3 linked regions of the Struthio camelus genome follow. The protein of the gene in region 1 interacts with the protein of each later gene in a biochemical or structural test. Links are inferred from orthologs where the notes say so. Each region holds a gene or a part of one and is shown in the gene's direction. Other genes may lie near its edges.

Evidence for each region. The genes of interacting proteins can lie anywhere in the genome.
Region 2: of the proteins of PTPRC (region 1) and CSK, one has a biochemical effect on the other in vitro, tested with the Homo sapiens proteins (2 studies listed by IntAct). The link is inferred for Struthio camelus from reciprocal best matches to the Homo sapiens genes PTPRC and CSK.
Region 3: of the proteins of PTPRC (region 1) and LCK, one has a biochemical effect on the other in vitro, tested with the Homo sapiens proteins (5 studies listed by BioGRID and IntAct, with this or other methods). The link is inferred for Struthio camelus from reciprocal best matches to the Homo sapiens genes PTPRC and LCK.

The regions. Positions count from the first base shown.
Region 1 is NC_090949.1:12,353,965-12,361,415, forward strand, and holds the start of PTPRC (receptor-type tyrosine-protein phosphatase C), read left to right. Parts: upstream 1-4,439; 5' UTR 4,440-4,558; intron 4,559-4,643; 5' UTR 4,644-4,700; coding exon 4,701-4,767; intron 4,768-7,451. UniProt on the Homo sapiens protein: Protein tyrosine-protein phosphatase required for T-cell activation through the antigen receptor. Acts as a positive regulator of T-cell coactivation upon binding to DPP4.
Region 2 is NC_090953.1:23,421,850-23,429,268, reverse strand, and holds the start of CSK (tyrosine-protein kinase CSK), read left to right. Parts: upstream 1-4,402; 5' UTR 4,403-4,417; coding exon 4,418-4,474; intron 4,475-4,781; exon of another isoform or gene 4,782-4,796; coding exon of another isoform or gene 4,797-4,841; intron 4,842-5,735; exon of another isoform or gene 5,736-5,787; intron 5,788-6,993; exon of another isoform or gene 6,994-7,137; intron 7,138-7,419. UniProt on the Homo sapiens protein: Non-receptor tyrosine-protein kinase that plays an important role in the regulation of cell growth, differentiation, migration and immune response.
Region 3 is NC_090964.1:8,587,726-8,595,040, forward strand, and holds the start of LCK (tyrosine-protein kinase Lck), read left to right. Parts: upstream 1-4,298; 5' UTR 4,299-4,428; intron 4,429-7,315. Other genes in the region: myotubularin-related protein 9-like, read right to left, coding at 1-428; protein FAM167B, read left to right, coding at 1,486-1,785, 2,638-2,901. UniProt on the Homo sapiens protein: Non-receptor tyrosine-protein kinase that plays an essential role in the selection and maturation of developing T-cells in the thymus and in the function of mature T-cells. Plays a key role in T-cell antigen receptor (TCR)-linked signal transduction pathways.

The DNA.
Region 1 (7,451 bases):
TAATGGGGATGCCAAACAGTTCAGGGCTGGGACTGAAGGGCTCTGTGCTGAGACTCATCTTTTCCTGAAACTCAACTCACTATGCCCAGGACAGTGGCTATGTAGTTACTAGCGAAACACATACTTCCCTAAGGGAGAGCCCTTGGCTCAGGGCCTCATATCTAATTCCATGGGTGTTTATCCGAGCTAGCTGAGCACTAGAGCGAGCGAGCGACAGAGAATGATGATGGAAGGCAGGTTGAGGAAGGCATATCCTTATCATCATCTGCTTATTCAATAATTGCTATTCTCCTGTGGGAAATGTGCGTCACATGTAAGTCAATGCAAGTCAAAAATAGTGGATGTCACTGCATCTTCATTGCATCTCTCTGTGGAATAGTTTGATCTTTTTTTTTTCCCCTCCTTAAGTCATATCTGTTTCACAAATCTACTGGAGGGATAGAGCTCTGGACATATAGTATCTAATACATGCACTAAGATTACTAAGATTTTTACTTTCATTGTCGCAGCAGAATCAAACTTTTTTTGTGACTGTCAAACCCAGTTTTGGTGGATTTTAAGTGCTGAAACTGAATATAGCCTGCCTATATTCCTATATTGCATAAGTTAGTTCTGAAATGCATCTGATGTTATGTTTCTGTTGTTTCTTGTGAGTTTTTCTTTTACCATTCCAATTAAAAAAATTAAAAAAATAGGATGGTTAATTTATCTCCAAAAACATGATAGCTTCAGCACAGAAATATTTTCAATTGGCATAATTAGTGTCCTATAGTAAACATTTGTGTCATAAAATACTTTAAACTGATTTAATGAATATAGAATTAATCTATTTTGGATTATTATTGGAATGTATTTTCATTTAAAATTATGGTTTATTGAAGTGTGAATTGCTTCTTTACAACTCATTTGCAGCAAGGTCATATTGCTTAAATTCTTTCTTCCTCGAATTCCCTTTCTTTCCTCTGTATTTAAGGACTCTATTCTCTATTAATTAATTTTTTTAATTATTAATTTTTGGCATGAAGCTAAAGGACAGGGGGACAAACAACATCTTGTTGTCCATGATGCATGCTAATAATTACTGCTGTGAATTTTAAGAGATTAATATTTATCTATACTTCTGTCACCACCTACCATTGATAACAGAACTTCCAGTTAAGCCTACAAGAAACGAATGATTTCAGTGTATCCAAGAGTCTTTTACAATGCATTTGTGATCTTTTCCAAAGGCTTCAGATATAAATTGAAAGGAAAACTGATTATTATTAGCACTTTACTTATATTTTTAGAGTTTTATTGCAGCTCTGACAAGATTGCCCTTTGTGCTATGTGTAACTGTATGGAACACAGAGATACGTATTTATGGCAATTTAACAGATCTACTGTATTGCAAGATAGGTGAAGCAGACAGTGAAAGATTTACTTCTTACAGTCTCTTTGTGTCTTACAAAAGAAGCAAGCTTTCAAAGAGATGGGTGAGTTAAGTTTTTGCACTGTTTTCATCGTCATTGCCAAAATCTTTAGTCGTACAGATTGACAGTTCTGGCTTTAATTCTTTCTTGTTCAGGGGAAGTATCACCTCCATAGTTACATCTTGATGAAATCATTTGGCTGTTTAAAAATAAATGGTGTGGCCTGAAAAGAGGTCTGTTTTATTAATACTCCATTGCTTAATATGCGAACAGAATAAATTTATCTCCTCCTGCACCCCAAAAGGTGGTCTTTTTTGGCTTATCCTTGAGAGTAAGACTGCAGTTTATGCTTGGGAAAAGACTTGATGTTGTTCTAATAGCCTTAAATGCATTCACTATTCATTCTGGCTGAGCTGAACAGGAAATATGAGATGGGGTGTAAATACATCTATGTAGCTGTCATATATTAATAATGGACTGAAATGGAGCTCAGTACAAGACAAACAGTGTAAAATCCCAGGCTAACATTTTTATAGGATAATTTTCAGCAAGGAACTGAACCACATTAGAACTGAAATTTCCCTGCTTCTTAGTCTATTCTTTGACTTGTTCATAGTACAATGATTTTAACTTACCAAACCAAAACCTTACCAGAAAAGTTAAACAGAAGAGGCCATATCTTGGCCATCAGCCCGCTCTACATCGACTTTTCGTGCAGGAATTTTTCCCTTTCAAATCATCTTCTTCTACTGTTTCTGAGGCAACCACTTTTATGGACTGTCTTTTTTACTCAGCAAATCTATAACAATCATTCTCTGAACAATCATTCTCATATGGCTGAGAGGAGCTAAACTGCCCTCTTTTGTTTACCAGTAGAGCTAAGATTTCTCTGTCAGTTTTGAAGTCTCTGATACGTACCATTTTACATCTTGCAACATTTAGGGTCTTCTGCCTAAGGAACATGCTAGCAGACGACGCTGATTCCGTTTGCCTGATCCTATATTTTTGCTTAAATCTGCACTTCCTGCTAAAAGTTGTGTAACTTTTAGCTTCATGTATGTAGTTGATAATTACCTGCTTTCAAAGGCTTGAATTATGAAGGGAGAAAGCTTGAAAGTTTGCTGCTTGTCACACACTTCCTTCCTCCTCCTTTGGCCAGGTATGCAGCTGTTTTAAGGACTTCGTGACTAAAATGCACACGGCAATTCACAGTATCAGCTTATTGATTAGTTTCTTTGAAAAACCAATGTGTTAGTAACACAATATCTTTCATTTCTTCTTCAGATGTTCAAATAGACAAATGTCAAATAGACAGGCTGCACCGATATTTGCATTTCAGATGCATAGCAAGCAGATGAAGTATTGCAACGTCTGAGGCTAACCTAAGATCAAAGACACTATGTAATTTCTGTGAAGTGTATTTTTTTTTCTCTCAGATATGGGGCAATGCTTAAACTCAATGCCAAAATATGTTGCTTTCACGGCCATGGAAATAGATTTGCTGAATGAGGGGTCTGCTCTGGGAAAGAAAGAGTTTTTTCTTGTTAGCACTTCAGTAAAACTCAGTATATATGGTTTGAGTACCTGTAACCTCCCTGGAGTTTCATGTGTAATCTTGGGTTAGTAATTTTAGCAATCGATGGTTTATAGTTCCTCAGCTGTTAAATGAGGGATATTAATAACATACCCCAATTTACAGTGATGGCTAGAGTGTGCAATGTGTATCATTAAATAATACATGTGATATGTTGCAATATTTAAGTGAAGGCTCTGTAAGTATCACACAGACAGAAAAGGTCCATTGTGTAGCCTTTTTTTCTTGGAAAGGTGGCTTGAAAAGTCAGGCAGTGGCTCTGTAAAACTGCCTGGGAAGATCAGGTAGAAATGGAGCTTGGCTCCACTTACCTGACTGACAACCTTCACGTGAAATTCTCTATAGGGTACAGTGCTCTATTTTCGTCATATGGGACACTTTGACACTATGGTTTTGTCTACGGATAGCAAGGACTAAGATACCAGTGTTGAAGACAGTATATGACTGTAGTCCAGGTTCAACTCATGGCAACTTCTGGATGATGAAGTTATTGTATATCAAAGCTAGGGTCTCTGGAGATTCACTGATGCCACTACGTCAGTTTTGTTGTGAATGCATTTGTAATGTAATTATTATTATAACCAGTTGTTATACAGACATGCTGTTTAAGGTAAGCTAAGATTTTAGTCTGTGTTATAGGACTTCACTTGAACTTGGACCAGAGAAAGCTATTTTTAATCTTATGGAGAGTCTGATTCGCTAATTTCATATGTGAATTATTATGCAAATTTGTGCAACTTTTCCCAGTGTAATGTTTAGGAAGTCTCTAAAGGATTTATGACATGAATGAACAATAACACAGATAGACTCTTTTCCCTTCTTTATCTGTCTTGTGGCAGGATTCTGTTGGTACTTTTAAAAACTTTGAACTTGCCAGTAAGAGATGCAATCCCAACATTATTGCCTTTGCAATTTCACATGTAATGGGCATTTCTCATTCAGTTGCATCCTATCTCAGTGCATACAGTGAGGGGGAAATATCTTTGGTGTATCTTGCCTGTTCTCCAGGAGAGGAACCCAAATTTTCAAGGACTAGCATAGTCCACTACCAACTACTAGGAAGGAAAAAAAATTCCAGTTTCCAAGGATTTATAATTTTTTTATGGAACAGGTGAATAGTGTGACATTCCGTTTTGTACTTGGCCTTGTTGCCAATGTAATAGTTATGTTGATTGATTTCTTTTTTTTTTTTCCTCCTTGAGAAGAGTCTATAAATAAGAAAGGACTCAGTGGAATGTACACTGTAAAAAACTGAATATGAAGAAAAAGAATGGCTGTTCGTTGAATCTAGACTTTTAAAGTTAAGTCTTGTTCAGTTCCTCAGTTGAAATGGCTGAAAACGTTCAATTTCATTTGAATTAAGGAAGCTGAGCATTTCTGTAGCAACTTAAGAAAAACCCTCTTGACTTCCTGGAAACTGAAAGAATTTTTTTTTTTTTTTTGAAGAAGTAATTGTCTCTGACATCACTACATGGCATTGCAAGTTTGCAAGTGGTTAGTTTAGGGTAACAGAGGAAGCAGCTCCTTCACTGTGATAAGCAGGCAGTGCAATGTATGTGCCCGGTTATTCTCCTTTTTGATTCAAGTTTCGCTTCGAAATTATTTTGCAGAGAGATAATACTTATTTTGCTTTCTAGAGAGAGAGACACACACATGCCGTTTCATAAGGATACGCCTAATTTCCAGAAATAACCATGTTTTTGTGGCTTAAAGTCTTAGCGTTTGGCTTTGTCTTTCTGGACCAGGATGCTTTTGTCAAAGGTAGGTAGCAATTGACATTTCGTTTTCTAATTTTGAACCCATAACGTTCTGTGTAGAATTGAAACAATTTAAAAGCTTTGCAAAATGAAGAACTAACATCTAGTTCAGAAACTAGAATACGATTGTCTGTAATGTTGTCAGAACCTAGATCAAGAAGACTGACTCATAATATGCAGGGCTAAAATGTCTTCCGTGTGGTCATGTCTGAGTGCTGTATGAACTACAACTTAAAAAAAATAATTGCCATTGCATTTGAAAAAGAATACATTTAGATCTCTTATATGAACCTATTCAATACAATATTTATGTCTGGTTTCATCTCATAAGGCAGTACTTTTGTTTTTGTGTGCTTTAAAGCTTTAAGAAAAAAAAATTCCCATCCATTAAAGCCACTCCTTCATCTCAGATTCTGCATACAGTTCCTCAAACTTTGATTTTTACTGCAGTGGGACTGGAAAAAAATGAAACATTTTAAGTTTCTTTGTACTGTTGGAAAATTACATTTATAATTAATTAGTTTATAAAAACTGCTTCTTCAAAGAGCCTTCAAAATTCTGAATTGACTATACTACCCCACTGGTGAATTTAAGTCACTTGACCTTTTTTAGTTTTAAAAAAGGAAGATTTAGCTGCAGAGGTTGATCTCACAAAACATACTAGATGTGAAAGAGTTGCAGTGGTGAGTAGCAATAAAATCAACTAATATTGAGGTAATAATTTATACGAAAATAAGAATTTGGTTGATTTATGTTTGAAGAAAAGATTTTCTTGAAAAGAACATACAGCGTTGCATATCTATGTACCTTTCTTCAGTTTAGGTAGTTAATAGAATTTGGCATAGGTCAGGGCGGATACAAAGTCTTTTCTCTTAAGTAACGTTCATCCTAAAAGTGGCTCATAACTTACACGTTCTGAAATCGTAGCAAATTACATTTAGGGCCAGAACTGCTTCTCACATATGTTGAATTTATTTGTTTCTATCTTCACTTTATTGTAGTAACTGCAGATTTATACTGATGTAAGCAAGAAAATTATCTGCCTTTAGTTGATAACCAACTAAAAGAGTGTATGAGGTCTGAACATTCGTTGTCTTGTCCTTCAAAGTCTCTGAAGAGAGCCATCACTCAATAAATCTGGTTGGATGTTACCAGAAAACAAGTGAATGCTGTGCTGTAAAGGAAAAGAGAAACACTTTCTCTCATTTTTCCTGACTTTTTTTTAATCTGCTGTCCTACTTTTCATTTTATAAGTCTTTCCTATGGCTTCCTACTGCTCCCTTTTTCTCAGGGAGGGCGGGTTACGGTCTGCTTTTGCAGTCACCTCCAGTCAGTGGCTGCATTAGCTGACAGCAAGGACCAGAAGACAGAAAGAAGGGTAGCAGTGTTTTATTTCAAACAATAGTTATTTTTTCTGTCTACAGACAGTAGTCTGGCTTGATCCAGTTTCTTGCTATGTGTTGCTGCTAAACAGAAGAGCCTTAAAGAAATGAAATCGTCTAACTCCTCTCTAGCACACTTAAAGCAATTAGCAGTCTGATTCTGCGGTGTCCAGGACTCGACATTACAAACCATGGTTTCACCATGTCGTTTGGTGCATGCTTATTTGAGACGCTGTCTTTCCATTTTGTACCGCACCTCTACAGATATGACCCATCTGTAAAATTTTCCCTGTAGGTTTGATTTTGGCTTTCAGGACACCTTTTTCTATATATACAAGAGGGGGAAAAGGTAGGAGCAGAAGGCTCCTAGAGGTTGATTTTTTTCCTATAAGGGTGATAGGACTTTTATACTTCATCTTTGCTCTGTAGATTACTTTGCCTAGTAGCTGTGAACTAACTGCTCAGTCTTTTAGGGAGGAGTTTGTTACTGGAGGGGCAACACTAGGAAAAGGTGGGGTAAGCTTTGGTTTTATGGAAGGAATAATTTTCAGGCGCTTGCTAGTCAGTGTTGAGTGTGCTTTGGGATTTGTTTTGACGTTATGATTAGTGTCTAAGAGCCTAAATTACCTAGTGATTTTGAAAACCCAGCAGGACAAATTTTAAGATTGTTGGATTCCCACCACAAGCCCAGGCATCTGACAGAATATCTCAAATTCCCTGCAATACCCAAACCACTTTTGAGAACTCCAAACTACATTTAAAAAATAAAAGTCCGGAATACCTAGAACCTGTGCAAAGACTTTTTATTATGTAAATCCTCTAAATAAGACTCATATCCATCTAATTATACTGTTAATAAGTGGTGAGTAGTTGTCTTTGGGGTATTTGAAAGCGGATAGAATTGTCCACAAAAAAACAAATCCTGGAGTTGCATCTGCCTTTGTAAACATTTGTACTACTGAAATATCCCATTAAACGCATCACTGTTTTGTGCAATATTGTTTAGTCTTTCATTTCCACCTAAACAGAATAGCTAGCTTTATGAAAATCCTTAGTTGGCAGGTGTGTGCCTTTTAAAATCTTTAGTGCAAGGTTGATACCCTAATGCCTTCTATTATCTAGGCTGACTTCCTAATCAAAAAGGTTATGCTAACATATCTGATGCAATGCATCATTGCCTATCTTTGCAAAATAAAACTTTGTTCTTATTTTAAAAAAAAAGGGGGGGGGGAATGCTTGCAGGATTTGCAGTACTTTTTTTTTTTTCCATTAGCCCAATAATTCGAGTTCCTCCTCTACCCTCCAC
Region 2 (7,419 bases), on another chromosome or scaffold:
TATAACTCCTGGGCTCAGCCGGGACCCAGGCTAGAGGAGCCACCTGCAGAACAGTCCTTCCTCCCTGGATGCCAACTTTTGGCATTCCCACCACCTCCCCAGGGGGGTTGCTCCAACATTTAACGACCCGCCTGGTTAAAAGCACATCCTGTGTTTCTAACCTAGCTCCATCATCCTGATGTTGGCTCCCTCTTCCATTTTGCTGTCTGTTTATCCCCCCCTCCCCAGATCTGCTATCAGATATCATCTGCCCTCCGGGATTAACCCTTGGATGCCTGTAAAAACTACCAAAAGCTGCACGTTTCTGCCAAGGAAAAGAAAAAAAAGAAATTGAGTTCAGTCTCCCAAGTGCTGTTGGAGATACAGCTGAAACCTATCTGGGGCCTTCAACAGGTTTCCTTGGTGCGGAAGGGGGTGTCACCTGCTTTCTGTGTCGCCCCCCCCTTAGCCGCTTATCCTGATCCAGACTGATGCTGCGACGCTCCTCCTGGGCTCCCATGCAAAGTGCTCCCTCCTCCCTCGGGCCACCGATAAAACCGCAGGGTCTCACCTGGCTGGTGGGGCCCTGCAGCACCTAAAGGGGTGTTCACGCGGTGCCCCCGTGGCGGTGAGCGCGGCAGGGGTCAGCGACGCTTTCGGGCACGCCAGCGAGATCCCAAGGAGGACTGCTCCGGCACGGAGCAGTCTCTGGGTGCCGGAGCCGCTGCAGCCTCCCCAGGGCAGTTTCTCTCGGAGCAGGGTTGGAGCAGGCGCCTGGTCCTCAGCGCTGCCCAGGCTGGACCCACAGACAGGGGAGAGCTCGAGCCGGCCGAGTTGAGCCCGCTAAAGCTGCGAGGGCCTCAGCCCAGAGCCCCAGGCCCACATACTCCAGCGCTGGGGAAGCAGGATTCGGATGCAAGCTGGCATCTCCGTTCCCCACATCATCCCCGCTGGATTTGGTGCCCACTGCTCTGTCCCCCGGGTACCACCCGGGTACCACTGCCCGCCCACACCCCTCGCATCCCCAAGCACTTTGGCTTGGATCTCATCCCCCCATTATTCCTCACGCTTGGCAGGAATTACTAATTCTTGAGAGCTCCCAACTCAGTCCTGAGCTATCCTCCTCCCATCCCTCCTCCCTCTTCCCTCTGGAAAGGAGAGGGTGTTTTGGCTAATTGATTGCGCCAAGTCATTAGAGGCACAATTAAGCACCATGTTCCTCAGAAAACATGAAAGCAAGCAAGGATGGAGTTTGGCCCCAGGTTAAGACGGGAAGAAAGAGATGGCAAGATAGCCGCTCCCCGCACGCAAGGGGCTGTCTGAGGAGAGCTCTGGGCTCCTGGGAACTGCCCCGAAACCTGCCTTTCCTCTGGCTGCCTGGCACTGCGAGCCGGCCCCCTCCCGCCCGCGCCCCACGCAGCCATGCATGCACGCATCCGTGGACGACGGAGGCAGCGGGGAGCAGCCCGGGGGGACGCCTGCACCGCCAGGAGCGCGGGCGTCCCCGCAGAGCCTGGTCCAGCGAGCAGAGGCAGCGCGAGCCAAAAAGCCCTGGGATGGGTGCAGGGAACAACGCTCTGCCCTGCAGCGTGCCCCGCATCGGGCACGGGCCAAAAACGGGCAGCACGGGGGCAGCGAAGAGGTAATTTGGGACACACATGAAATCAGAGCCCAGATTTTACTAGCAAACGAAGAGGGCCGGGTACCGATCTCTCCGGTGCTGGAGGGACGCGGGCAGAGCGCAGTCTGGCCCGATCGCCCTCAGGAGAAGAGCGACGTGCCGAGAGGCAATATCCCCACTTGCTCCCCTCCCTGCTTTAATTAAAATCGTCCTCAAAATGACGGCTCCGCTGGCGAGGCTTCGAAACGAGGCTGCCCTCGGCACCGGAGAGGGCTCCGGGGCCGGCACGGCGAGAGCCGCGAGGCGGACGCCGGTTCCCAAGTCCCTTGGGCGCTTCTGGAGCATCTGCGTCCCCGTCTCTCGTGTTCGTGACGCGAACGCCCTCCCGCGGCATCAGCTCGCAGGTGAATTCCCCAGGGTCCAGGAAGCTGGGATCCTTCACTCGGGCTTTCCCTAGGAAGTTCATGCCCATGAGTGTGGATTCTCAGCTGTCTAGTACAGCCAATACAGCAACCTTCTCGTCTGCGGGGCTCTCCTGTCTCTGGATACCGGCTCTTGCCCAAGCTGCACTGTCCGAAAGCCCTGGAGGCACAAGCGCCACTGCCAGCCAGGGCTAAAACCAGCCAGGAGATCCAGAGACGAGACAGATCCGCAGGATCGGTGACTGCCCACGCTTCGCTCCTTTAGGAAACCTGGCTTCAGGTCTATCCCCTGTTTTAGACGCTTAAGCACTCCCCAAAGCGTCCAGCGCTTGGCTGCCAGCACGCGGTCGCTGAGATGCCACCCCACGCCGAGCTGGTCTGGCACCGGCGCGTTCCCCGGAGGGGCCTGGGCGAACCTGCCGGGCCGTTTGCGTAAAACCAGCCTTCGCAGCGCCCGCAGGCTGCCACGTGCTGCTCCTCTCGCACCAGGTCTCATCGGGGAGACGGGGCAGAGGACTCTGGCTCTTGCATCCCTTCCTCCAGGACAAAGGCAAAGCCTTCAGCATCACTTTCCTGCCGGCCCGCATCCCGGATCGCTACGGCGGGTGACTCACCGTGGACGGGTGCCCAGGGTCCCTCCTGGCCTGGCGTGGGAATATTACACGGTCAGGATTTTATTCTCAGGACGGGAATCGCTGCTGCAGGGACGAAGGAGGTGTTTACGGGCCAAAAGAAGCAAGATCCAGGGGGTTACGGACGAGGTGCCTCGGGGCAAGCTGTGGGTGAGATACTGCTTGTCTTCCTGGTGGCACCGGGAACATCGGTTGGGGAAGGGTCAGAAGCCCCCCTTGGCCCCCAGCCCACTCCCGCTGGGCCGGACGAGGGAGCTCAGGACCACTGATCTGGCCTGCGCAAGCCAGATCTGCCACATCCCAGCAGAGCGCAGCGTCTCCCGGGCCTCGTCCCTCCTTCTCGTCCTCCTTTCCCCGGAAGCGCGGCCGAGAGCAGCCCTGCGCCTCCTCGCCATCCTGCCGACTCAGCTCCGCCAAAAGCCTGGCCTTGGCTCTCTGCCCTGCGAGGAAGTTCGGCTCCTCCTCGGCTGGACCCCCAGCGACAACAGGCGCTGCTGCGCAGTTTTTCCTTTCTTTACTTTCCCTTTTCCTGCAGGCTGATTCCCACCAGCTGAAGGGCCCCCTCTCCTGGTGCAAAGCAAGGAGGTGGCTGCCCACGTCTTCTCCAAATCCAGCCCTCCAAACAGGGTGGCTCCGACGCAGCGGCCCAGGCCAGGCCGTGGCACGGGCAGGGACCCTTTCCCAGACTATTGAAGGTGGGGTCCCGAGCTGTGTCCCGAGCATCGTTCCCCTCACCCTTCCTTTGCACTGTGGCATTTCTACTGTCCCCGTAGTCCCGCTTTCTCCACCTTCCCCTCTAAACTTGGCCGTACGTCCTCCCTTTCCTTCCGTCCTTCCAGCAGCCCCAGCATTCATGGCTTGCAGTCGCTGGGACCGGTGACTTCACCCAGCTTAAAGCAAATCTGGCCTTTCCCCAGCCGGATCAGTTTTGAACCCACTCAGGTCCTGGGACCTCCTGCCAGGTAGGAGATCAACACTTCCAGCAGGAACGGAAATCAGCCCAACACGGCAGTCCGACAGCACACTGGGGAGTTGCACGACGTAGCCCGGGGCACAAGGGTCTGTGTGCTTGGGCAGCCGCAGGTCTCCTCTGAACCCCGGTGGGGCCGCTGGGCTGCTCACCTCGGCCCAAGAGCCGTCTTCCAAGGACCTCTGGACACGCGAGGTTGTTGGCCGTCGCGCAATAAGCCAGGAGGTGCAGCAGAGCCCACGAGCGAACGAGACAAACCCAAAGAGGAGGAGGCTGTTTGTGTCCATTCACCATCAAGGAGGAGAGAAGGAAAGGGAGAAGGACACAGCAGGGGCTGCTGATCACCATCCTAAAACCAGCACGGCAGGACAACGCGGTCGTGGGGCTATTTCTCCAGGCCTCCTTCTAGGTCTGACGGATTGCAAAAGCCTGGAGCCACCTGCACAGTTCCCCACCGGGCCGGGTTCACATTTTGTGTTTTCCTTCAGGAGCCAAGGTCCCAAAGTCCCAGTGCTGCTTCCCAGAAGAGAGGCAGGGCCCGGGAGAAGGGATGCCCCGAGCCGGCAGGCCGCGTGCGGGGCTGTGCCCGGAAAGGTGCTTCTGCACAGCAGTTACTATTGCAAGAGAAATCTGCCCCCCAAAACTCCTTGCAGCCCCCACACAAGGGAAAATCCCGAGCCTCATCCCCATTCTCCCTGCCCGCCCCCTCCAGACCGGGCCAGCCTGGGCACCTAGGCAAAGCATTTTTCCCCGATGAGCGAGTGGTGATGCTGCGGCTCTGCGTGCACCGCGGATGTGTGCGCGCATCCGGACGCCTGCGTGCGCACACGGGCACGCACCTCTCGGGCAGGTACGTCCGCGCAGGTGCCCGCGTTGGGCTGCGTTTGCCAGTGCGTGAGGGCGCGGAGGGGTGCTGGCGCGCGCACGCTCGGCCCTGCGTTTATGGGCACGCAAGCTTGGGTGGGTGCATTTCTATGGGTGCGTGCGTGGGTTTGTGTCTGCATCTGTGGGTGCATTTCTGGTGCAAACAGATGCACGAGCTGGTTTCACTTCCTCCCAGGGCTGCTCCGCTTGGTAGCTGCGTGAGGCCGAGCGGGGAAGCAAGCCGACCTGCTGCTGGCGGGGCCTTCCCTGCCCCTCTCCGGGGGGTGCATCCTGCGAACCACGGGGCGATGCGCCAGCTCCTCGCACGGGGCTCAGGGCCTGGCGGGAGTCAGGTCTGCACGACCGGCACGGGCTCACCCGACACCCGGCGAAACCGGGTCGCAGGCTCTTTCCCGCACACCGTGCACAGGAAAGCGCCCTCCAGAAGTGAACGGGGCTTTACAATCCGCTCCCTGGGTACCGGCATCTCCAGCCTCCCTGTTGCCTTTCCTCCCGCATCCCTGCGGTCCCCTCGCCCCCTTCGCGGGACGTCTCCATCGCTTTGTTATCTCTTTTCTTTCTTCCTTCTCTGCTTGCTCTGCTCGCGCTCATCCTCACCGCCGGGCCAGGCAGGAGAGACCGTCCGATGGACGGGGAGGTCGCGTGCGAGCGGCAGGGAGATATCCCCCCCCGGCAGCCGCGCAGGGCCGGGCCGCGGGGCTGTTTTCGGAGCGGCGCTCAGCCCCTATCTCAGCGGAGAGGGGCGGAGGCGAGGGCGGGCAGGGTCCCTGCACCCCCTGCCTAACAGCCCCGGGGCGAAGCGGGGAGGAGAGCGCTCCGTGCAGGGAAGTCCAAGGCCACCCCTTCCCGCACAATGGCATTATTCAGAGCGGCTGGCGCGGGTCCTGCCGGGCTGGCAGGGCAGGCGGGCCCCGGGGGCCGCTCGGGGCGGCAGGCGCCGGGAAGCGTCCCCCAGGCCGAGCGGCGAGCAGGGAGCCGCGCCGGTTTGTAAAGCGATTGGATGGCAACTGGCGAAGCACGCTTGCAGCCCGCTGACTTGCGGTCGCCAGCGTCGGGGCGGGACGATCCCGAAGCAAGGAAAGAAACGAGAGCAAGCAAAAAACCGAAGAGAGGCGCGCGCCGGCGCTTCCTGCTTTGCCCTACATGGCCGCGGCGTTTTGCGATACGAGGCAGGAAGTGACAAGCGCTTTTTCTTTCTAATTGAGCCTGCGAGGCATGATTTAGTCTGCGAACGCCTCGTCGCTGGATGGGGCGCTTTGGCCGGAGGGAGGGACGGCGGTAAACGAGCCTCGTGGGAGAAGCGCCGGGAGAGCCGTGGCCTGGCGGGGCGCAGCATTGCCTCCCGGCTGCGGAGGAAAGCGCCGCACCGCGAGGCTCCCGCCGCCCGCCTAGGGCTGCCCGCTGCGCCGAGCCCTGCCCGTCCCCCAGGGACCCCCGTCTCCTGTCACCGCCGGCAGCTTCTCAGGGCCAAGCCAAAAGGGAGTCGGGCTTTTTAAGCCTGTTTTCCAGGGTCTTTGCAGCTCCCACCTGCAGCTGCTGCCTGGAGGCGCCGGCCTAATTTTGGCACGGTTCTCGCGATTTGGAGTCTGGCGCGTGGAGCGGGATGATGGGCCTGCTCCCCCCACCCTCACCCACCGCGCAGCCAGGCCGGGCGTCCGCAGCGTTTCGCGGCCTCCTCCCCGAGACGCGCCGCCCGTGCCCCGTCCCCTCCAAAGGCAGCGAGCGGCCTGAGCCGGGGTCCAGCCGCGTTTGACCCCGGGCGACCCTGCAGACAGGCTGTGCGGCGGGTGCCAGGGCCGGGGAGCTGCAGCGAGCCGCGCGCGCTGGGGCGCGCTGGGGGTGCCGGGTTCGGGCTGGTGGGCACCCGCTCGGCGTTTGCGAAATCAGCGCAGGCCACTTGCAGAGCTAGAGCGCGGCTGGAGCCAGTAAGTGACGAGGCGCGCACGGCCCGTGCAAGGAGGGAAACGGCAGGGAAGTGCCCAGGAGACGCTACGGAGCCGCCCGGAGCCGGTCAGGAAGCCCAAGCAGCGTCGTGCGCTGCCGGGAAGGGCGGCGTGTGCGCGGGCCCGGCCGCCCCCTCACCCCCCCCCCGCCGCCGCGCTCCGCGGCTCCGCTCGTGGCCCGGCAGGTGGCGCGGCCGCGCTGCCCGGGCGGCGGCGGCGGCGGCGGCGGCGGGCGGCGGGCGGCGGGCGGCGGGCGGCGGGCGGCGGCGGGGTCGGGCCGTGGCGGCGCGGCGCAGGCGCGCTGCTCCGGGCGCACCGATTCCGGGCGTCGCTTCCTGGCAGCAGGCCCCGCCGGCCCCGGCAGCGCCGCCCCGGGCCGAGCCCGCGCCCCTCGGCCCCGCGGCAGCGGCCGCGCCGCCGCCCGCCCGGCAGCGCCGCAGCGCAGCGCAGCGCAGCGGACGTTTCGCGGCGCCGCGTCGGGCAGCGGAACCCCGGGGCGGCGGCGGCCGCTTTGTTTCCTCCTCCCCTTCCGCCGCCGCCGCCGCCGCCGCCGGCCCAGCCGAGCCCGGAGGCCCCGCCGGCGCCGCATGGAGTACGCGGCGGCGGGCTGAGCGCCGCTGCCCTGCCCTCGCCCCCTGCCCGCCGCGCCGCGGCGGCGGCGGCCGCGCACCGGAGCCCGCCGGAGGTGAGTGCTCGGCCGGCGGGGACCGGCCCGGCCCCGGCTCCCCTCCCCCTTCCCCAACCTTCCGCCGTTCATCCGTGCGCTGAGCGCGTCGGGCCGCCGCCGGGCCCGCCCTGCCCTGCCGCCCGCCGGGGGCGCGGCCGCCGCGGGGCAGCGGCGGGGAGCGGGGGGCAGAGCCGGTGCGGCGGCGCCGGAGCCGTCGGGGCCGCTGCGGCGCGGCGGCCGCGGGCGGCGGCGAGGCCAAGGGGCGCCCGGCGAGCCCGGTCCTCGGCCGCCCGACGGCGC
Region 3 (7,315 bases), on another chromosome or scaffold:
CGCGGGAAAAGGGGCAGGAGCAGGGTGGGAAGGGGCTGCGGGCAGCGCGGGAAAAGGGGCAGGAGCAGGGTGGGAAGGGGCCGAGGGCAGCGCGGGAAAAGGGGCAGGAGCAGGGTGGGAAGGGGCTGCGGGCAGCGCGGGAAAAGGGCCAAGGGCACCCTGGGAACCGTAGCATGGGCAACAGCACAAGGGGACACGGGGCTTTCAGCACGGGGGACCAAAGGGAGCTGGAGGCAGCGTCCTTGGGGACCTCTCCAGGTTTTCTGGGGCTGCAGGCGGTGGCAGGAGGTGGGCAGCAGCGGCCGTAAGCTGCCGTCATTCCTGCAGGCCCCGGCTGCAGGGAGCAGCCCTGCGGCTGCTGTGGCCATCGCAGAGCCTTCTGCGCCGGGAAGAGGGGCAGAAGCCGGGCGTAGGGGGTGCCAGCACATTGGCAGCGTGGTGCCTCCGACACCCCCACGCAGCCCTCTACGTGTCTGTGCACACACTAGCTCCGAGCCCCGTGCGGGGCAGCGGGGGGCCAGGCCGAGCCGGTGGCCGGGAAGAGGGGGGAGTGGCGGGGGGCCAGGCCGAACCGGCTCCAGCCCCGGCCCGCGGGGCTCCTGGGGCCGCTGCTCCCTCCCGGCCCGGCAGGTTCCACCTTAACGGCGACGCAGCTGCGAGCAGCAGCTCCAGGGCTGCAGCGACCTGGCGGTGCACAGCTGGCTGCACAGCTGGCGCCGGGGCCACCCAAAGCCCTCCGGGGTGAGCCCGGCAGCACCCCAGGGTGCAGACCCCGGGGTGCCTGGCCCGGGGTGAGCACCCCCCTCCTGCCCGGCACTGAGCCGAGTGCTGAAAGCGGAGCCCGGCGCTGCGGGACGGAGCAGCAGGTTTTTTTTTTTCCTTCCCCATTTTTTTGCTCTGCTCGGAGGTGGCATTCGGGGACCTCGCAGCCCTCCCTCGCTCCCAGCCCGGCGGGAAGTCGGTGTCGGCCCCGTGCCGATAACAGCGCGGGAGGGCAGGAGCGCCCAAGGATAAATCATTCGCGCCCCTGCAGGCCTTGGTGTCCTCATTAATGCTTCCTCCGTGGGGAGTCTCCTCCCAGCTGGAGACAATAACACTAAAAAAGAAACGAAACAAAAAAAAAACACCCCCCCCCCGTCCTTCGCAATTCTCTGGATAAGTAAAGTTCCTGCTTGTTATAATTATCACCGGCGTCCCCAACCTTTATTGTTCTAGGGGTGGATAAATAGCTGCGGCTCACGCACAGCTGGTGGGAGCGGGTGTCTTGCAGCCAGCGCTCCTCACTCTCCTGCGTGCACGAGCGCTTTGGGGGGCAGCGGGGTTTGCACGAGGGCTTTGGGGGGAGCAGTGGTGTTTGCACAAGGGCTTTGGGGTGCAGCGGTGTTTGCACGAGCACTTTGGGGGGAGCAGCGGTGTTTGCACGAGGGCTTTGGGGGGCGGCAGCAGGGTTGCAGCAGGGCGCTGGGGCTCCGCGCGGGCGCTGCCATGCCCTTCAGCCAGCTGAAATTCAAGGAGCTGGGCGAGGAGGAGCCCGGCTCGGACGAGGAGAGCCTGGACAGCGTGAAGGCACTGGCGGCCAAGCTGAAGCTGCAGACGCGGCGGCCCTCCTACCTGGAGTGGAAAGCGCGGGTGCAGGGGCAGCCCTGGCCGAGCAGGGCGCCCGAGGGGGCCGGGGAAGCACGGGGGGCAGAGCGGGTGCCGGCGCGCCCCGAGGAGCTGCCGGCCGGCCGCCTCCGCGGCTTCGCCTCCATGCAGGAGGCTCTGCAGTGGCTCAGGACGGAGCTGGTGAGTGGGCGCCGCGGGGAGTGCAGCTGGGCGGGGGTCCCGAGGGACGGCGGGGGGCGGCCGCGGGGCTGCGCCGGGCTCGGGGCGCCCCAGCTGCGGCTTGGCGCAGGGGCGGCTGCTTCGAGGGGTGCGCGGCGCCCCGTCCCTGCCCGCCTGCCCCGCACGGCGCCTCGCCTGCTCCGCCGCTGGCACGGCCCCGGCGTCAGCGTGGCGCGTCCCTCGGGCCGGCGCGGCCGCCCTGGCCTCTGCAGCGGGTCACCGCAACAGCTGTGCGGGTGCAGCCCCAGGGGCGGCCGTCCCGGGGGCACGGGTGCACGGTGGGGGCGTGCATGCGTGTGTGTGGGCCCCGTGCATGGTACCAGGGAGGATGTGTACACACACATGCATGGGCCCCATGCATGGTGCTGGGGGAGGATGTGCACCCACATGTGCATGGGCCCCATGCATGGTGCTGGGGGGGGATGTGCACACACATGTGCATGGACCCCATGCACGGTCCCGGGGGGGAACATGTGCACCCACATGTGCATGGGCCCTGTGCACAGTGCCGGGGGGGAACATGTGCACACGCATGTGCATGGGCCCCGTGCACGGTGCTGGGGAGGCATGTGCACCCACACGTGCATGGGCCCCCTGGATGGTGCTGGGGGGGAACATGTGCACACACGTGTGCATGGCCCCCGTGCACGGTGCTGGGGAGGGGATGCATGTACGTGGGCCCTGTGCGCAGTGCCGGGGAGGGGAGCGCTCGTGGCCCCCGGAGGGTTGTGGCCCGGCTCCCCTTGCCCGGGGCGAGGGCGGGTGACCCGGGTGGCGGCGGCAGCACCCTGACGGCTCGCTCTCGCCGCGCAGCGGGAGATGCAGGCAGCCGACCAGCTCCTGGCCCGGCAGCTGATGCGCCTGCGGGGGCAGCTGCACCGGCTGAAGGTGGAGCAGGCCTGCCACCGGCACAAGGAGATGCTGGACGACGCCACCTTTGGCCTCGAGGGCTGCGAGGAGGACTCGGACCTGCTCTGCAACATCCCGCCCAAGGCCGCCTTCCTGCTCTCCACGCCGCTCAAGCACATCGGCGTCACCCGCATGAACATCAACTCCCGCCGCTTCTCCCTCTGCTGAGCGCGCCGGACCCCCGGGGGCCCCTCGGCGGCGGGGGGCCACGGTGCAAAGCAGCCCTCCGAGAGGGAATAAAGGAGCTGAGGGCGAGCGGCGATGTCGTTTGCGGAGCCCACCGCCCGGGTCTGTGCCGCGCGGCGGCAGGTGCCCTCTCCAGCATCCTGGCAGCGCTCGGGCCGAGCGGCTGCGGGAGATGCCCCGTCGCTGCCGGGTCGCGGCTCAGCTGGAGCCCGCGGCCGAGGCCGGGAGGCGCCGGGGGCCGAGCAGCCCCGGTGCCCGGCGCCGGCCCTCGGCAAGCAGCGGGCCCCCCGGGCGCCGTTTCCGGCCGCCGTTTCCTGTTCCCAGGACTGCAGCAGGACGCGGCGGGGAGCAGCCGCAGCGCTCCCGTGATGCCGGCGGAGCAGGGCTGGACGCGTGCCCGGCGGGGCCCGGGGCCGCGGGCGCCTGCGCCAGGAAGCGATGCCGGAACCGCGTCGAGGCCGAGCCGGCGGCGGCCGCCGTGCCGAGGGCGAGCGCCCCCGGCCCTCTCCTCTTTCCCGCCGCGTCTCTTCCCGTGGCCTCTCGCCGCGTGGGGCTGCTGGCCGGCCCCGGGCACCGTGCCGGCCGGGCTGGGCCCTCGAGCCGCCGCCAGCGCCTGCCGCGGCCCCCCGGCGCGGGCTGGGCTTCCTGCCCCTGCCTCCGCGCAGCAGCCGGCACCGACCTGTGGCTTTGCCTCCGAGCGCGAAAGCCAAGACAATAGCTTTGCGGTCGCTCTGCTCGGAGCGCTCTCCAAAAACAGGGGGCTGGCGGCGTGGCGCAGCCCTGCAGGCGAGCTGCCCCCAGCCCGCGCCGGCCCCGGCCTGGCGTCCCCGCAGCTCCCGGTGCGGCTGCAGGGGGGCTGCCGCCCTCCGCCCGGGGGCTCTCGTGGCGCCGGGGGACGATCCGGGGAGCATAATAAAATCCTGGCCGCCCCAGCCCCTTGCAGCATGTCCCCCACCCCACGCAAGCCCCCGCTCCCCCTCCGGCCGGGGTCCTGGCGGGGGCGGCCCTGCCGGCTCCGTCCCAGCCCTCGCCGGTCGCCCCGAGCATCCCCGTCTCGCGTCGTTCGCTGCCCGCTCCCGACGCCGTGGGGCCCCACGCTGGGTCCCCCCCTTCCCCGGGCTGCCGCGTTCACGCGGGTGGGCTGGGTGCATCCACCCGGGGTGAGCGCGGGGGGCACCCGGTGCCGGCGGGTGGGAGCCCGGGCGCCGCTGCGCAGCCCGGCCCGGCTGGCAGGAAGCCCCTGGGGTTGGTCGCCAGCACTTGCGGTCGTGCGCGAGCTGTGAACCAGCTTCTCTAGAGTTTGCTCATGAGGCAGGAAACCAGGGAAGGCGGCGAGCGAGCGAGCGTGAGCGGCGGCGGCGGCGAGCGCGCGCCCCAGGCTCTCGCCTCCTCGCCCGGCACCGTCTGCCCGAGGATGGAGAGCAGGGCGTGAGCGGGCACGGCGCCTTCGCTCCCGCTGCCGGGCCATGGAAATCTGAGCGCGGCCGGTCCTCGCCTCGCTGCCGACAGGTACCGGGTGCCCGGGGCGCCCGCGGAGGGGTTGCGCCGGCCCGGGAGCTGGGGACCCCGCGGGAGCCCGGCCGGGGTGGAGGGGGTCCCTTCGCGCTCTCCAAAGTCACCCGGGCGGGATGGAGATGGGGTGGGAGCGACGTCCCGGGAGGGAGCCGGCGGGCGCCGCGGCCGGGCGCAGGCTCAGACACGGCGCCTGGGCGGTCGCGCCGGGCCCGGGGCCGAGGAGAGGCCGTTCCCGGGGCGGCCCCGAGCCCCCCTGCCAGGGCTCCCCGGCCGTGGGTGGCAGCCGTTAGGCACCGGCTGGGTTTCGGTGCCCGTCACCTGGTGAAACCCGGCTGGTTTTGGGCGCTGAGATGCGGCTGCTTTAGGTGCAAACATTGCCGTGCCACAAGGGCAGGAAGGGGCAAGTGCTCGGGTCACCGGCATCTCTGCAAGGCTCGGCGGCGCTGGGGCACCCGGCGGCGCTGGGGCACCCGGTGGCACTCGGGGCCGAGCGACGCGGCCGCCCACGCTCAGGGCTGCGAGCAGCGCCTTCGCCGCTGCCACCGCCCGGCCGCCAGCGAGAGCGGCCCGAGGCGGCCCGGGGAGCGCTGGGGACCCTTGGGGAGCGGAGGGAGGGGGTCAGCCCAGCCGCCAGCCCTCGCCAGGCTTCGCGTTCAGCCACGCGCGTGCTGGCAAAGGCACCAACGCCGGCCTGGCCGAAGAAGCGTGCGCACAGAAACATGGCATCCGGGCTGGCACATGGCAGCTCCTCCAGAACCGGTTGCACACGGGCGGACACGCCGGCAAGCAAACCCAGGGAGCGGTGCCTGCACGCATGCGTGGGCACCTGCATGCATGTAGGGGCACATACACGCGTGGGCACCCACACCCATGTGTGGGCACATGCAGGCATGCGTGGGCCCCTGCACGCACCCGCGAGCGGGTGCAGGCGCCCGCAGGCCGGCAGGCGCAGCCCTGCGCCCCAGAGCCGGGCCCCGGCGCGGGGCAAGGGCGCCTACACACATCACTCGCACGCAGCCTTGACACGAGAAATTCAGTTACACCGATGCAGTTGCAAAACCTGACTTCAAACGCCCCGCGACACGGCATGCCCCTCACGCTGAGCAGGTGAAACGGTTGTTTGGTGGAAATTACTCTGTGGCTTGAGTACATAAAAAAGAAAAATTACACACAGCACCAGCACGCACCTCCCTCCCTTCCCCGGCTTCTTGCACAAAGGAAAAAACACCTCTTGGCACTGTTTGCCTTCGGTGAGCGTGTCAGCGCTCGCAGCTCGCAGGGCTGCTTGCAGGCTTGCGAGGTCGCACGGCTTTTCCTCCGCCGGGGCCGAGGTCTTGCCCCGGTTGGGTCACTCGGGGCCGGCCCCGGGAGCGGACGGAGCCCGCGCTCAGCGGCCCCCGCGGCCCCTCGCCCTCCTCGGGCCGCCGCAGCCCGGCCGAGCGCTCGGCTCCGGGCCGTTAGCCGCCACCAAAGAGCTTCTTCACGTAGGTGCAGCCGGAAGCTGAAAGCAGCCGGGTGTTTTGGGGGGTGTCAGGCGCCCGAGCAGCGCTGGAGGGCACGGCGGGGCTCGCGCGCCCACCCTCTCCGTGCCGGCTGCCGGGGCAGCTCGCGCCGCGGGGCGGATGCGCCGTCCCCCGGCGGCACGGCCGCGCCGAACCCCCTTGTGCTTCTCCATCGCGGGGGCGAGGGAGGATGTCCGCCGTCTTCAAAAACAGCCCGCGGCGCAGCCGCCCCGGCCCGGAGAGGGGAAGACAGGCAAAAATGTCAAAAAATACAGCCCGCGCCCCGGGCGCTGACGTGGCAGCGAGGCAGCGGCTCCGGCGGCGGGTGCTGGGGCCGGTGCCACCCTGGGGACCCCCCCGGTTCCCACGCCCCGGCTGGCTGCTCCCCCCCAGCCCCGTGCGGTTACGCACATGCAAGCGAAACCGCTCGAGGGTCGCGTCCCGCTGCCCTCCAGCCGCCAGCCCGCGTGGCGGCCAAGTTAAATGGACGCTTTTGTGAAAAGCAGAGACGCGTTTTTAAAGGGTGGCACTCTGGGGAAGGGAAAAATAAGGAGAAGGTAGCGTCGGTGTTAGCAGCGCCGGCGGGCATCGTCGCTCCGGCGGGATGGCCCCCTCTCCCCCTTTGGCTGCCGGGACCCCCGGCTTCGTGCCGCGCTCGGCCGCGGCGGGAGGGCGCGAGCCTCCCGGGCGGTTTGCAGCGCCCGGGCGCTTCCTGCGGCGTGCGGCACTGCTGCCCGGCGGCCCCGGCGCCCAAACCGTGCAAACTGGGGGATGCTCGAGGTCCGGGGGGGGGGTCCCCGCTGTCGAGGGGCGAGCTGCCGAGGGGCCCCCGAGGAGCGACTGGGGTTTAGAGCACAGCCCTGATGCAGGAGAAAGCAGAGCCCAGGGGCGCGGGGGTCCGACCCCCCCCAGCCCTCAGACGAGTCGCTCTGCAGGGGACGGGCCCTGCCGGAAAAGAGAGCGCGACGCCAGCGGGAGGGTGCAGCAGCCCTGCGGCCCCGGGGGCTGAGGCGCTAACGGGCCCGGCGGCTGCTGAGCTCGTTAGCGCTGCAGTTTGCAAAGCTCTCGGCCCAGCGCAAGGGTAACGAACGCCCCGGGGGCGAGAAGGAAACTGGGGGTGACGCCGGGGGTGGGTGCGTGGAAGCTCTTCCCGCCGACTGCAGGAGCTGCTTTGAAGGCCAAGGACCTCGTCAAATGCTTGATGCAACGCCACGCAAAGAATTATTAATTGCTAATCGAGTAGTAACGATAGACTGATTAAGTAAAAGGGAGCCGGTAGGAATCAGCCTAAGGGCTGCGAGGGGGAAGGAGCCGCGGCAGGAGGGGGCAGCCCCAAGCCGGGGCGGCCGCAGGGGGAGGCTGCCGGGAGCTCGGGAAGC